2 linked regions of the Arabidopsis thaliana genome follow. The protein of the gene in region 1 interacts with the protein of each later gene in a biochemical or structural test. Each region holds a gene or a part of one and is shown on either strand. Other genes may lie near its edges. The genes, in order: SYD and LFY.

What was found.
Region 2: the proteins of SYD (region 1) and LFY form a complex in vitro, tested with the Arabidopsis thaliana proteins (one study listed by BioGRID).

Annotation. Positions count from the first base shown.
Region 1 is NC_003071.7:12,054,768-12,060,036, forward strand, and holds the start of SYD (P-loop containing nucleoside triphosphate hydrolases superfamily protein), read left to right. Parts: upstream 1-2,003; coding exon 2,004-2,111; intron 2,112-2,205; coding exon 2,206-2,267; intron 2,268-2,515; coding exon 2,516-2,631; intron 2,632-2,728; coding exon 2,729-3,118; intron 3,119-3,219; coding exon 3,220-3,275; intron 3,276-3,792; coding exon 3,793-3,953; intron 3,954-4,040; coding exon 4,041-4,105; intron 4,106-4,187; coding exon 4,188-4,580; intron 4,581-4,695; coding exon 4,696-4,856; intron 4,857-5,269. UniProt on the Arabidopsis thaliana protein: Catalytic component of the chromatin structure-remodeling complex (RSC), which is involved in transcription regulation and nucleosome positioning.
Region 2 is NC_003076.8:24,842,409-24,847,788, forward strand, and holds LFY (floral meristem identity control protein LEAFY (LFY)), read left to right. Parts: upstream 1-1,839; 5' UTR 1,840-1,886; coding exon 1,887-2,343; intron 2,344-2,801; coding exon 2,802-3,208; intron 3,209-4,114; coding exon 4,115-4,525; 3' UTR 4,526-4,581; downstream 4,582-5,380. Other genes in the region: AT5G61865 (uncharacterized protein), read left to right, coding at 4,987-5,181. UniProt on the Arabidopsis thaliana protein: Probable transcription factor that promotes early floral meristem identity in synergy with APETALA1.

The sequences.
Region 1 (5,269 bases):
CTCATTCATCTTAATTGGGACCGGAAAGATTACATTGGAACCTCTTATATAGTAAGAGATACTCTAAAACTGAGATAAGTAAACACCACAAAACAAAATTAAGAGATTAGGGTGTGTTTGGGATTTGCACTGAGCTTGGAACATAAGAGCACACAAGTGGGTAACAAAACTTGTCTCTAGATTCGCCAAGATCCACTTTACTCAAGATTCCATTATTTCCAATGATGTAAGCAATATTGCGAGCGGGAAGGTGACATTTGTCTATTATCTCTTTATCAAGAACAACCGCGACCTTCTTCTCCTCGTCAACGAAGAAACTCCTACCGACATTAGGAAACCAAAAACCAGCGACTGGTTTCATATCAACAGCAAATAACAAGTTGCTCCACGACACTGCATTAGGCTCAATCTTATTAGTAATCCATATCTCGACGACGGATGCCCGGTGAAACAGCACCGCAAGCTGCTCTTCTCTAACACTAGCAAGCGTCACAGTATCTCCAAATACGGCTCGGAAAGGCAGAGGCAGACGCGGTTCAAATCTTGAAATCAAAGGATAGTAGAAAATCAGGGTGATCTAGTGATGGTAGACCATGAAATGGGATCTCTTCTAGGGCATACCAGTAAGTGTTTCCCTTTAGAGACACGCCACTGTGTTTGTACAAAATATACCAGTCTGGAGTGAAATCATCAATGACCTCCCATGAATTGGAGTATAAACTGTAAATCTGAAGCTCACGAATTCGGTCCCTACTGGTCTCCAAGTACTCATTCACGAATCTCAAGATTTTGTGATTCTTTTTCTCGTATCCGAGAGCGTACTTCACGCACTTGTGGTAGATAGAATTTCTAGGTAATTCGATATACCTTGTTTGTCCCAAATAAGGGTTCCAAACAACAACCCTAGAAGAGTCTTTGTCTCTGTCCTTGTTGATGCATAAGAATAAACCCTTGGCAGTGAAAGATTTTAGATATTTTGATTCCATCTGCATTGAGATTACCTATAGGATCTATAGACGGAGAGAGTAGATCTACGCTCATCAAGGAAACTCTATAGTCCATCATCATCACCACCTCAATTCCATTCCTCTGTTTCTTCTTTAAAAAGCTCTCACTTTTCGTTATAGTGTTCCACTTTTTGCAGGTCAATCGCAGTTTCCCCAGAGATTTCACCGGAACCCTAGAGAGCACCTCCTCCTCCATATCAATTGGAAGATCGAACATCTTCGAATCGAATCTCCCAAAATCTCTCTCTCTTTTCCGTGTCTATCAATCCATCTCTTCACGCCCTCTTTTAGTGATATAACTTATCTTTTTCAATTTGGGCTTTATGGTAATGGGTCAAGGCCCATTAAGGGGTCTCGTTTAGAACTCTTGATTAATGTCTGAAATAAGTTTTATACATTTCTTCATTTGGAGAGTCATTTCGCAGAGACGACGCATAGCTTCTTCACTTGTCAGCTCTCAACGTTTCTCACCTGAAATTTCACTTCTGCTTCGTCTTCTCGAGCCGGATCTCTAATTTGTAAAGCTCCCTCTCTCTTTCTTCTTGTTCTTCTTCGTCTCCTTCTACACTGATGGATCGTTATTTAGCTATTTAGGGTTTTGTGAGTTGCATTAACTAGAGTAACTCGCGAATTCTTCTCCTTTGCCTTGCGATTTGGGGAATTTTTTAGCTCCATCAGCCAATTTTACAATTTTGTATGTATCCGTGGATTTATCACATGAATTGTGGACCTCTGAGTTTTTTTTTTTTGTTAGGTTCTTCTCGCTTTAGTTTTGCTTTTAGGTACATAAATTTTCCTCCTTTATGATTTACTTGCTCTTGGGCTATTTTCTTTTATTTGTTTGGTATGGAGTATGGACTCTAGAGTTTAGTTTAGTTTTTTTTTTTGGGCACATTGGTTGGAATTAGTCTTGTTTTATTCTGAATTGTGTAATCAATATCTGCATGCTTGTGGTGATGCAGGGAATTCTTATGTGATGGTGTAATTTAAGTTAAGATGACGTCTTCTTCGCATAATATTGAGTTGGAAGCAGCTAAGTTTCTGCATAAACTTATTCAAGATTCTAAAGATGAACCTGCAAAGCTAGCAACTAAACTTTATGTGGTAATGTGGCTTCACCACTCAGTGTATGTTTTATTTTGTAATTTTGAGCTTTATTCCTGTGCTTTAACTTTGTTTATTCTTTCGATTACTCTAGATATTGCAGCACATGAAAACCAGTGGAAAGGAAAACACAATGCCCTATCAAGTCATATCTAGGTATTGTTTTCCTTATATATCGTCGCTGGTTATTTGTTAATGAATTACTGATTAGGTTGAGATGATATAATCTTCTTACGCTGTGAGGACGTGGGGGCTGCTTCTTACTGAATCAGTTGCTTTAGCCTTTATCTAACTCAAGACTTTAGAATCTAGTTATTCTGGGTCTTTCAGCGTCAAGCTGTTTCTCATGCTTTCAAAGATTTATCACTTTTGTTTTACTGATAAAGTCTTTCTAAAACTCCCAGGGCCATGGACACTGTAGTCAATCAACACGGTCTTGACATTGAAGCTTTGAAGTCCTCGTGTCTTCCTCATCCTGGTGGTACCCAAACGGAAGATTCTGGGTCTGCACATTTGGCTGGTATATCCTCTCTCCTTTGTTTCAGTTGAGTGTTTCAATTGTTTTTTTTATTTATTTATTTATTATCTTAAGCTTCTTGCATCAATGTGGAATACAGGGTCTTCCCAAGCGGTTGGAGTTAGCAATGAGGGTAAAGCAACTCTAGTTGAAAATGAGATGACAAAATACGATGCATTCACTTCTGGTAGGCAGCTTGGTGGATCAAACAGTGCGTCACAAACCTTTTACCAAGGGTCTGGAACTCAAAGTAACAGATCATTTGATCGTGAGAGTCCATCCAACTTGGATTCTACGTCTGGAATTTCTCAACCTCACAATCGTAGTGAGACAATGAATCAAAGAGATGTCAAGTCGAGTGGAAAGAGAAAGAGAGGTGAATCATCACTTTCATGGGACCAGAATATGGATAACTCTCAAATATTTGATAGCCACAAGATTGATGATCAAACTGGAGAAGTAAGCAAAATAGAAATGCCCGGTAATTCAGGTAGGGATATTTGCTTCAACATTGTTTCTTACAGAACAAAGCATATCCTTTTTAATCTAGAATATAAGAAGCACCCTACAATTGTTGCCATTAAACCTCAGGTGACATTAGGAATTTGCATGTTGGGTTGTCCTCAGATGCATTCACGACTCCACAGGTACATAACACTAAGTTTCCCGAATCCATCCAGATTATATACATATTGTGTACATAACATTAGGTTTATGAAATCATTTTGAGCCTCCCTGACTCTGCCAATTTCAAATATTTTGGGACTTTGTGCTACACGTATCTGATGCACAATAACTTCTTAAGAATGTATAAAGAGATATATGCTGGCACATGGTGGCTTATTCTCCGAAACATTTGTCTCTCCTTAGAAGTATTATTTTCTTATCTATTTTCGTTTTCTGTATTGGAAATATGAAAAAAATGCTTGCATTTCCCGTGGTGATTTTCTTTGTTTTTTAACCTAAAAAACTTAGATGCCACTAAATTCACTTTTTCAAAAACGTGATTTGATTAAAACTTTGCCTTCTATATGATGTATTGAATCTTACTTGCATATAGTCTGACTTAGGCTCTGCAAAATGTCCTTTCCTCTTTTATTTCATACCAAGATACCTCGTTGGAACTCATCCCCTCTATATGTGGGATCTTATTTTCTATGGCAGTGTGGCTGGCAGAGCAGTGAAGCCACAGCAATCAGGCCTGCAATTCATAAAGAACCTGGAAATAATGTTGCAGGAGAGGGATTCCTGCCTTCAGGTTCACCTTTTAGAGAGCAACAACTGAAGCAGCTCAGAGCCCAGTGCCTTGTGTTTCTAGCTCTTAGGTACCTTACAGTCTCCTAGCCTCTGTATACTCCTTTTGGTGCGGCAATTGTAACTCTAAAAATTTCTGGTTGATTTTCATCTCGTAGAAATGGTTTGGTACCGAAGAAACTTCACGTAGAGATTGCCCTTCGAAATACTTTCCGCGAAGAAGGTAATGTTGGTGCTCACTGAAGTTACTTTCGAATCCACTTTTTACATGCTTTCCCTTGGATCATAATTGGTCTTCATTACAGATGGTTTCCGCGGAGAATTGTTTGATCCGAAAGGGAGAACACATACGTCCAGTGATCTGGGTGGCATTCCTGACGTCTCTGCACTGTTGTCAAGAACAGACAATCCCACTGGAAGATTGGATGAAATGGACTTCTCATCCAAAGAAACTGAGAGATCAAGACTAGGGGAAAAAAGTTTCGCAAATACTGTATTTTCTGACGGGCAAAAGCTTCTAGCATCTAGAATTCCCAGCTCTCAAGCACAAACTCAGGTTGCTGTTAGTCATTCTCAACTAACGTTTTCTCCTGGTTTGACCAAAAACACACCATCAGAGATGGTGGGGTGGACTGGAGTAATCAAAACTAATGACCTCTCAACTTCTGCTGTTCAACTCGACGAATTTCATTCTTCTGGTTAGTGACTATCTTAGATGGGATTGTTTTAACTGATGGGTCTTTCCCTTTTGGAGTGTAGTATTGTTAACTAATTTGATTGATAACTCTTCGAATATGGATATATGGCACATAGCAGATGAAGAGGAAGGTAATTTGCAACCGTCGCCTAAGTACACCATGTCACAGAAATGGATTATGGGTCGACAGAATAAGAGACTATTGGTTGATCGTAGTTGGTCCCTTAAACAGCAGAAAGCCGACCAGGCAATTGGTTCACGGTTCAATGAGTTGAAGGTCTTTCTCTAGCCTTTTCTTTCATTGGTGTTACCTTTTGTTTCACGAGTGATTGATTTTTCCTGGTGTCAACGTTTTATGCTGTTGCTTGTTGTTTGTGGTGGTTCTTACTTTTCCGTGTTCTTGATCTTGTTATTGGAACAGATCAATGATCATATTTAAGTATCCGATTTTGGATATAGAAGTGCCTGACATTGTGATTGAGTAAATTGTTTAGCTATTCCATCTTCAGCTCTACCCACTGTAACCTGTCAGACTGATCCCAGGAATCAATTTTGATCAAGCTAATATATTAAATTTGATCTCAGTGAGATAAAATAATGGCAAGTTGTACTTGGAATTTAGGCAAGCATTTGTAACCTCTTTTATGTATTCGTCTTCCATTAAGGAACACTTATTTGCTCAGTTTACAA
Region 2 (5,380 bases), on another chromosome or scaffold:
GTATCAAGAGTACGAGCCGCTACTCGCAATGATGAAGATGATGATATATAATAGTAATGAATTTATATGTTGTAAACTTGTAATGTTAAAGATTAATAATAAACTAAATGAGAGAAAGGACAAAGAAAAGGTAAGAGGAAACTGAGGGAGTGAGACAGTCAAAATAAAACAGACTGAGAGCATTAAGAATGCCAGTCTCTCAGAACTTCGATTTGACCTGTCGTTTCCTCATTGGCTACCTTTCCAACATTAAAGTTTTTTATCGGCTCAATTCCAATGTTATAATTTTTTATATATTTTCACATCATTCTTTTTTTTCACTGTTTAGTCACAAAGTTTACGTAACCCATATGTCCAATCCCACACTTTAATTTGTATTTTTAGTTCCAACATATAAAAATAACAAAATAACCATTGCTTTTTTCCCCACTTTAATTTGTAAGTTCTTTCTGTTATTTAATAAATTTGACATTACCAAAAAAAAAATTTTTAGATGGGTGAATATATATAGAAATGTAACTTATCAAATTGATTCGGTTTTCTGATTTTCTTAACGACTAAAAAAAATATATGTGTACTAGGGCAATAGGGGTAATTACAAATCAGGGAGATGACAACACGTAAGAGATAGTTGAAGAGATTAGACCGAAACACACCTGACCTCCTCTCCTTCTGGAGTTTTCACACTGCATTTATCAATTAATGTTTCCTAAAACGCAGATAGATAAAGGTTTCATTTATTAGCTTATGTTTATTTAAAGCAAAAGAACAACTTGTGGCTATATATAGTAGATTAACAATCTCAGACTCAGAGTGCTGATATTTCTTATCATACAAAATTTATCTTCCCCTAACAATACTTCCAAAGCTTATTTAGATAGACATATATGGAATTATGGATAATGGATTCCCTTAAGTTATATGAATCATAGGGGAATATAATTTTAGTAACTTATCGGGCTTCTGCAAAGATTGTGCATGGTACCATGCGTCCATGCCAATACAGTTAAAGTTTACATAATACAAATTTTTACGTATTTCTATATATCATATATGACTTACAGATTATCATAGCTTAATATAGCCAGTATTGCCAACTTTCCATTCGTACCTAGAACTTATAAGAAGATTGGAAAGGATATTAAAATTGAAAAAGACGTAGGTTGGCCATGTATCTTAAGATAGTTAAACGATATCAGCAATCTATCAATAATCAATCTATCGTAACAAATATTTTTGTCATAAATGTATTTGTAGATTTTTTTTTTTATACTTTTAGATGGTTAAATGTTCAAGAAATCTAACCAAATGGTGGAATGGTTCCGTTTGATCGTGCTCTCATGGTACAAACAATGAGACCCCCCAAAAAAAAAAAACCCCCGAGGATGAAATTAAAACAAATAACACAGCTTGAACAAAACATCAAAAACAGAGGATCATCACAGTAAATATTAATACTTGAACAAAACATCAAAAAGATAGGATCATCACAGTAAATATTAATATGCATAAAGAAGAGAATCACCACAGTGAAAACCCTAATCATTTTATATTCCTACGTGTCAAATTATGAATGGTCATAATCAGAGTAGAGAAAAAGAATGTCGATGAAAGAAAAAGTTTGACTTGTTAAGTCCCAACTGTCAATTTCCCAGCAAGACACATATCTTCTTTTACATCACATTACATCTACACATAAATGCTTTATTGCAAAAATAGCGATATAAAAAAAGAATATACAAAAACCTAGTATTTATTTTCTAGATTCTTTACTGTTGTATATATAGAAGTTGCTCGAGTGGTCATTTTTACAATAAAGCAATCTGCTCAAAAGAGTAAAGAAAGAGAGAAAAAGAGAGTGATAGAGAGAGAGAGAAAAATAGATTATGGATCCTGAAGGTTTCACGAGTGGCTTATTCCGGTGGAACCCAACGAGAGCATTGGTTCAAGCACCACCTCCGGTTCCACCTCCGCTGCAGCAACAGCCGGTGACACCGCAGACGGCTGCTTTTGGGATGCGACTTGGTGGTTTAGAGGGACTATTCGGTCCGTACGGTATACGTTTCTACACGGCGGCGAAGATAGCGGAGTTAGGTTTTACGGCGAGCACGCTTGTGGGTATGAAGGACGAGGAGCTTGAAGAGATGATGAATAGTCTCTCTCATATCTTTCGTTGGGAGCTTCTTGTTGGTGAACGGTACGGTATCAAAGCTGCCGTTAGAGCTGAACGGAGACGATTGCAAGAAGAGGAGGAAGAGGAATCTTCTAGACGCCGTCATTTGCTACTCTCCGCCGCTGGTGATTCCGGTACTCATCACGCTCTTGATGCTCTCTCCCAAGAAGGTACAATAATTATGAATACATATAGAAATATCAAATATCGCACGTTTTATAAATATGTGTATATATTGTTCTCAACATTTCTATGCCCGACTTTCAAGAAAAAGTATGTATATGTTCACGTGACTAATATAGATAACTAATTTATGAATCTTACCATATGTATAGTAGTTGCTACATAATTTTATGTTTAAGCTTTTTTTTTGGTTAAATATATTGGTTAAGCTTTTGTTACATAATACAAGATAATATATGTCATATTTAATTTATATGTTGGATATATTTACTTGTATGATATTGATTTAGAGCTACTGTGTGTATAGAGTATGCAGTCATAGTCTGATATTTATTAAATAGACCTAGTGCAAGAAGTACGAGGATTAATGTCATGTACAGGAATTCAAAGAGTATATACGCCTAAACTTGAATAATTTTTTGTGATTGTGACAATTTATATGTAGATGATTGGACAGGGTTATCTGAGGAACCGGTGCAGCAACAAGACCAGACTGATGCGGCGGGGAATAACGGCGGAGGAGGAAGTGGTTACTGGGACGCAGGTCAAGGAAAGATGAAGAAGCAACAGCAGCAGAGACGGAGAAAGAAACCAATGCTGACGTCAGTGGAAACCGACGAAGACGTCAACGAAGGTGAGGATGACGACGGGATGGATAACGGCAACGGAGGTAGTGGTTTGGGGACAGAGAGACAGAGGGAGCATCCGTTTATCGTAACGGAGCCTGGGGAAGTGGCACGTGGCAAAAAGAACGGCTTAGATTATCTGTTCCACTTGTACGAACAATGCCGTGAGTTCCTTCTTCAGGTCCAGACAATTGCTAAAGACCGTGGCGAAAAATGCCCCACCAAGGTATCTTTTGATTTATCTTCTAAGAACTAATCCTGACCGTTCATTATCTTGAAATTTATGTTTCAAACAAAAGTTTAAAAAATGGTGTCGGAAGTTATGGGGTATGGTAGGGGAACTATAGCTATAATCATGGACAGCTGTTCTAAAAGCAAGTTTGACAAATCACGATTTCTCAGGGTTTTCAATTTTTTATTTTTTTTTGCTATGTCTCGCAACAAAATTTAGGTTCTAATTTATTAAATTTTTCATTTTGTTTTCATACTGTCTTCAGCATAAATATAGTTAGATTTCAATTTCAATTTTGACAGTAAACGTACGACAACGTGTCGAGTTAGGGAAAGGACATAGTTGTTTCTTTGTTTTTGGCTATAACGACATGAGATAGTTAGATACGATATACAAATTTTTGCATGCATTCACACATAGTACACATAGATATTATTAGACTTTTTGACAATTAATAGGGATATTTGTTGTATGTATATATTATTATATCTAGTTACAGTCTATTGCTCGGCGGATAATAGAGGGTCCTCTTTCCTCTAGTGATGATAGTACAGAATCCATGAGCTCTGTGCCATTGCTTGTACAGACGCACGTTACTAAGAAAATCTAATTTATTTGTTTTCTTTCTAAATTTGTTATTGGTTCCAATATTTTGATTATTGTGTTGTTTTTATCAAAAACCTTTTTGTTATCTAATTTTTTGGGTTTAGTTAAGTGTCAAGTCTAACAAGGGTTATAAAAAATATCTAACAACTACGGTTATAATTTTGGTAGGCATTTTTTTTTAATCATTGTTTACCGAATTAAAACCAAACTTATTAGGTTTCATTTTTCCTACTATATATCTCATGATAAATGATTTGTTTGATTATATTGATGTTGGGGAAAATGTGTAAATAGGTGACGAACCAAGTATTCAGGTACGCGAAGAAATCAGGAGCGAGTTACATAAACAAGCCTAAAATGCGACACTACGTTCACTGTTACGCTCTCCACTGCCTAGACGAAGAAGCTTCAAATGCTCTCAGAAGAGCGTTTAAAGAACGCGGTGAGAACGTTGGCTCATGGCGTCAGGCTTGTTACAAGCCACTTGTGAACATCGCTTGTCGTCATGGCTGGGATATAGACGCCGTCTTTAACGCTCATCCTCGTCTCTCTATTTGGTATGTTCCAACAAAGCTGCGTCAGCTTTGCCATTTGGAGCGGAACAATGCGGTTGCTGCGGCTGCGGCTTTAGTTGGCGGTATTAGCTGTACCGGATCGTCGACGTCTGGACGTGGTGGATGCGGCGGCGACGACTTGCGTTTCTAGTTTGGTTTGGGTAGTTGTGGTTTGTTTAGTCGTTATCCTAATTAACTATTAGTCTTTAATTTAGTCTTCTTGGCTAATTTATTTTTCTTTTTTTGTCAAAACCTTTAATTTGTTATGGCTAATTTGTTATACACGCAGTTTTCTTAATGCGTTAACGGATTTTAAAACCAATTTGGTCAAACTCAAAAGTACTAAGATACATTTGAGTTAAGAGCACTGAAAATAACCATTCATACATCGAGAAAGAACTGTGAAGGTGTCATCAGTATAATTAATCAATAATGGGCCAGTTTGAGACAAATATATGGGCCTGGTTTGAGACAAATAGATGGGCCGTGGATATATAAACTTGTGTGTCAGAAATTGCAAACGAAGAAAACAAAAGAGAATTTGAGAAACGACTGTTTGAAATTCGAATCCATTTCTCTTCGGACTTGTGTGATAACTGATTTCCTCCTACAATGGAGTTCCCGCCAAGAGCGTTTTATCCACGGAGATTCCAGGCCTCTCCGGCGCAATACACGGCGGAGGAAAGTGCTGCAGCAGTATCGGCGCCAGATCTCCGAGATAAGCTCGCGACACTGGTCGATCGCACCAAGAAAGTGAAAATGGCGTACCATCAACTCCAATCGCAGATCGCGTTCGGCCTTGTCGAAGTAAAGATAAATGCTCTTCTCTAGTTTGTTAGATTCGATTTCTAAGTAGATCTAAGCTTGATTCAAACGAATTTGAGAGAGGTAATCCTATTATCTGGTTTGGTAGATTCGAGCTTGATTTGAACGATTCCGAGTGTTGCGTACTCTTTAAATTGGTAGTTTCAAGCTTAATTTGAACAATTGTGGGTGTTGCAACGAA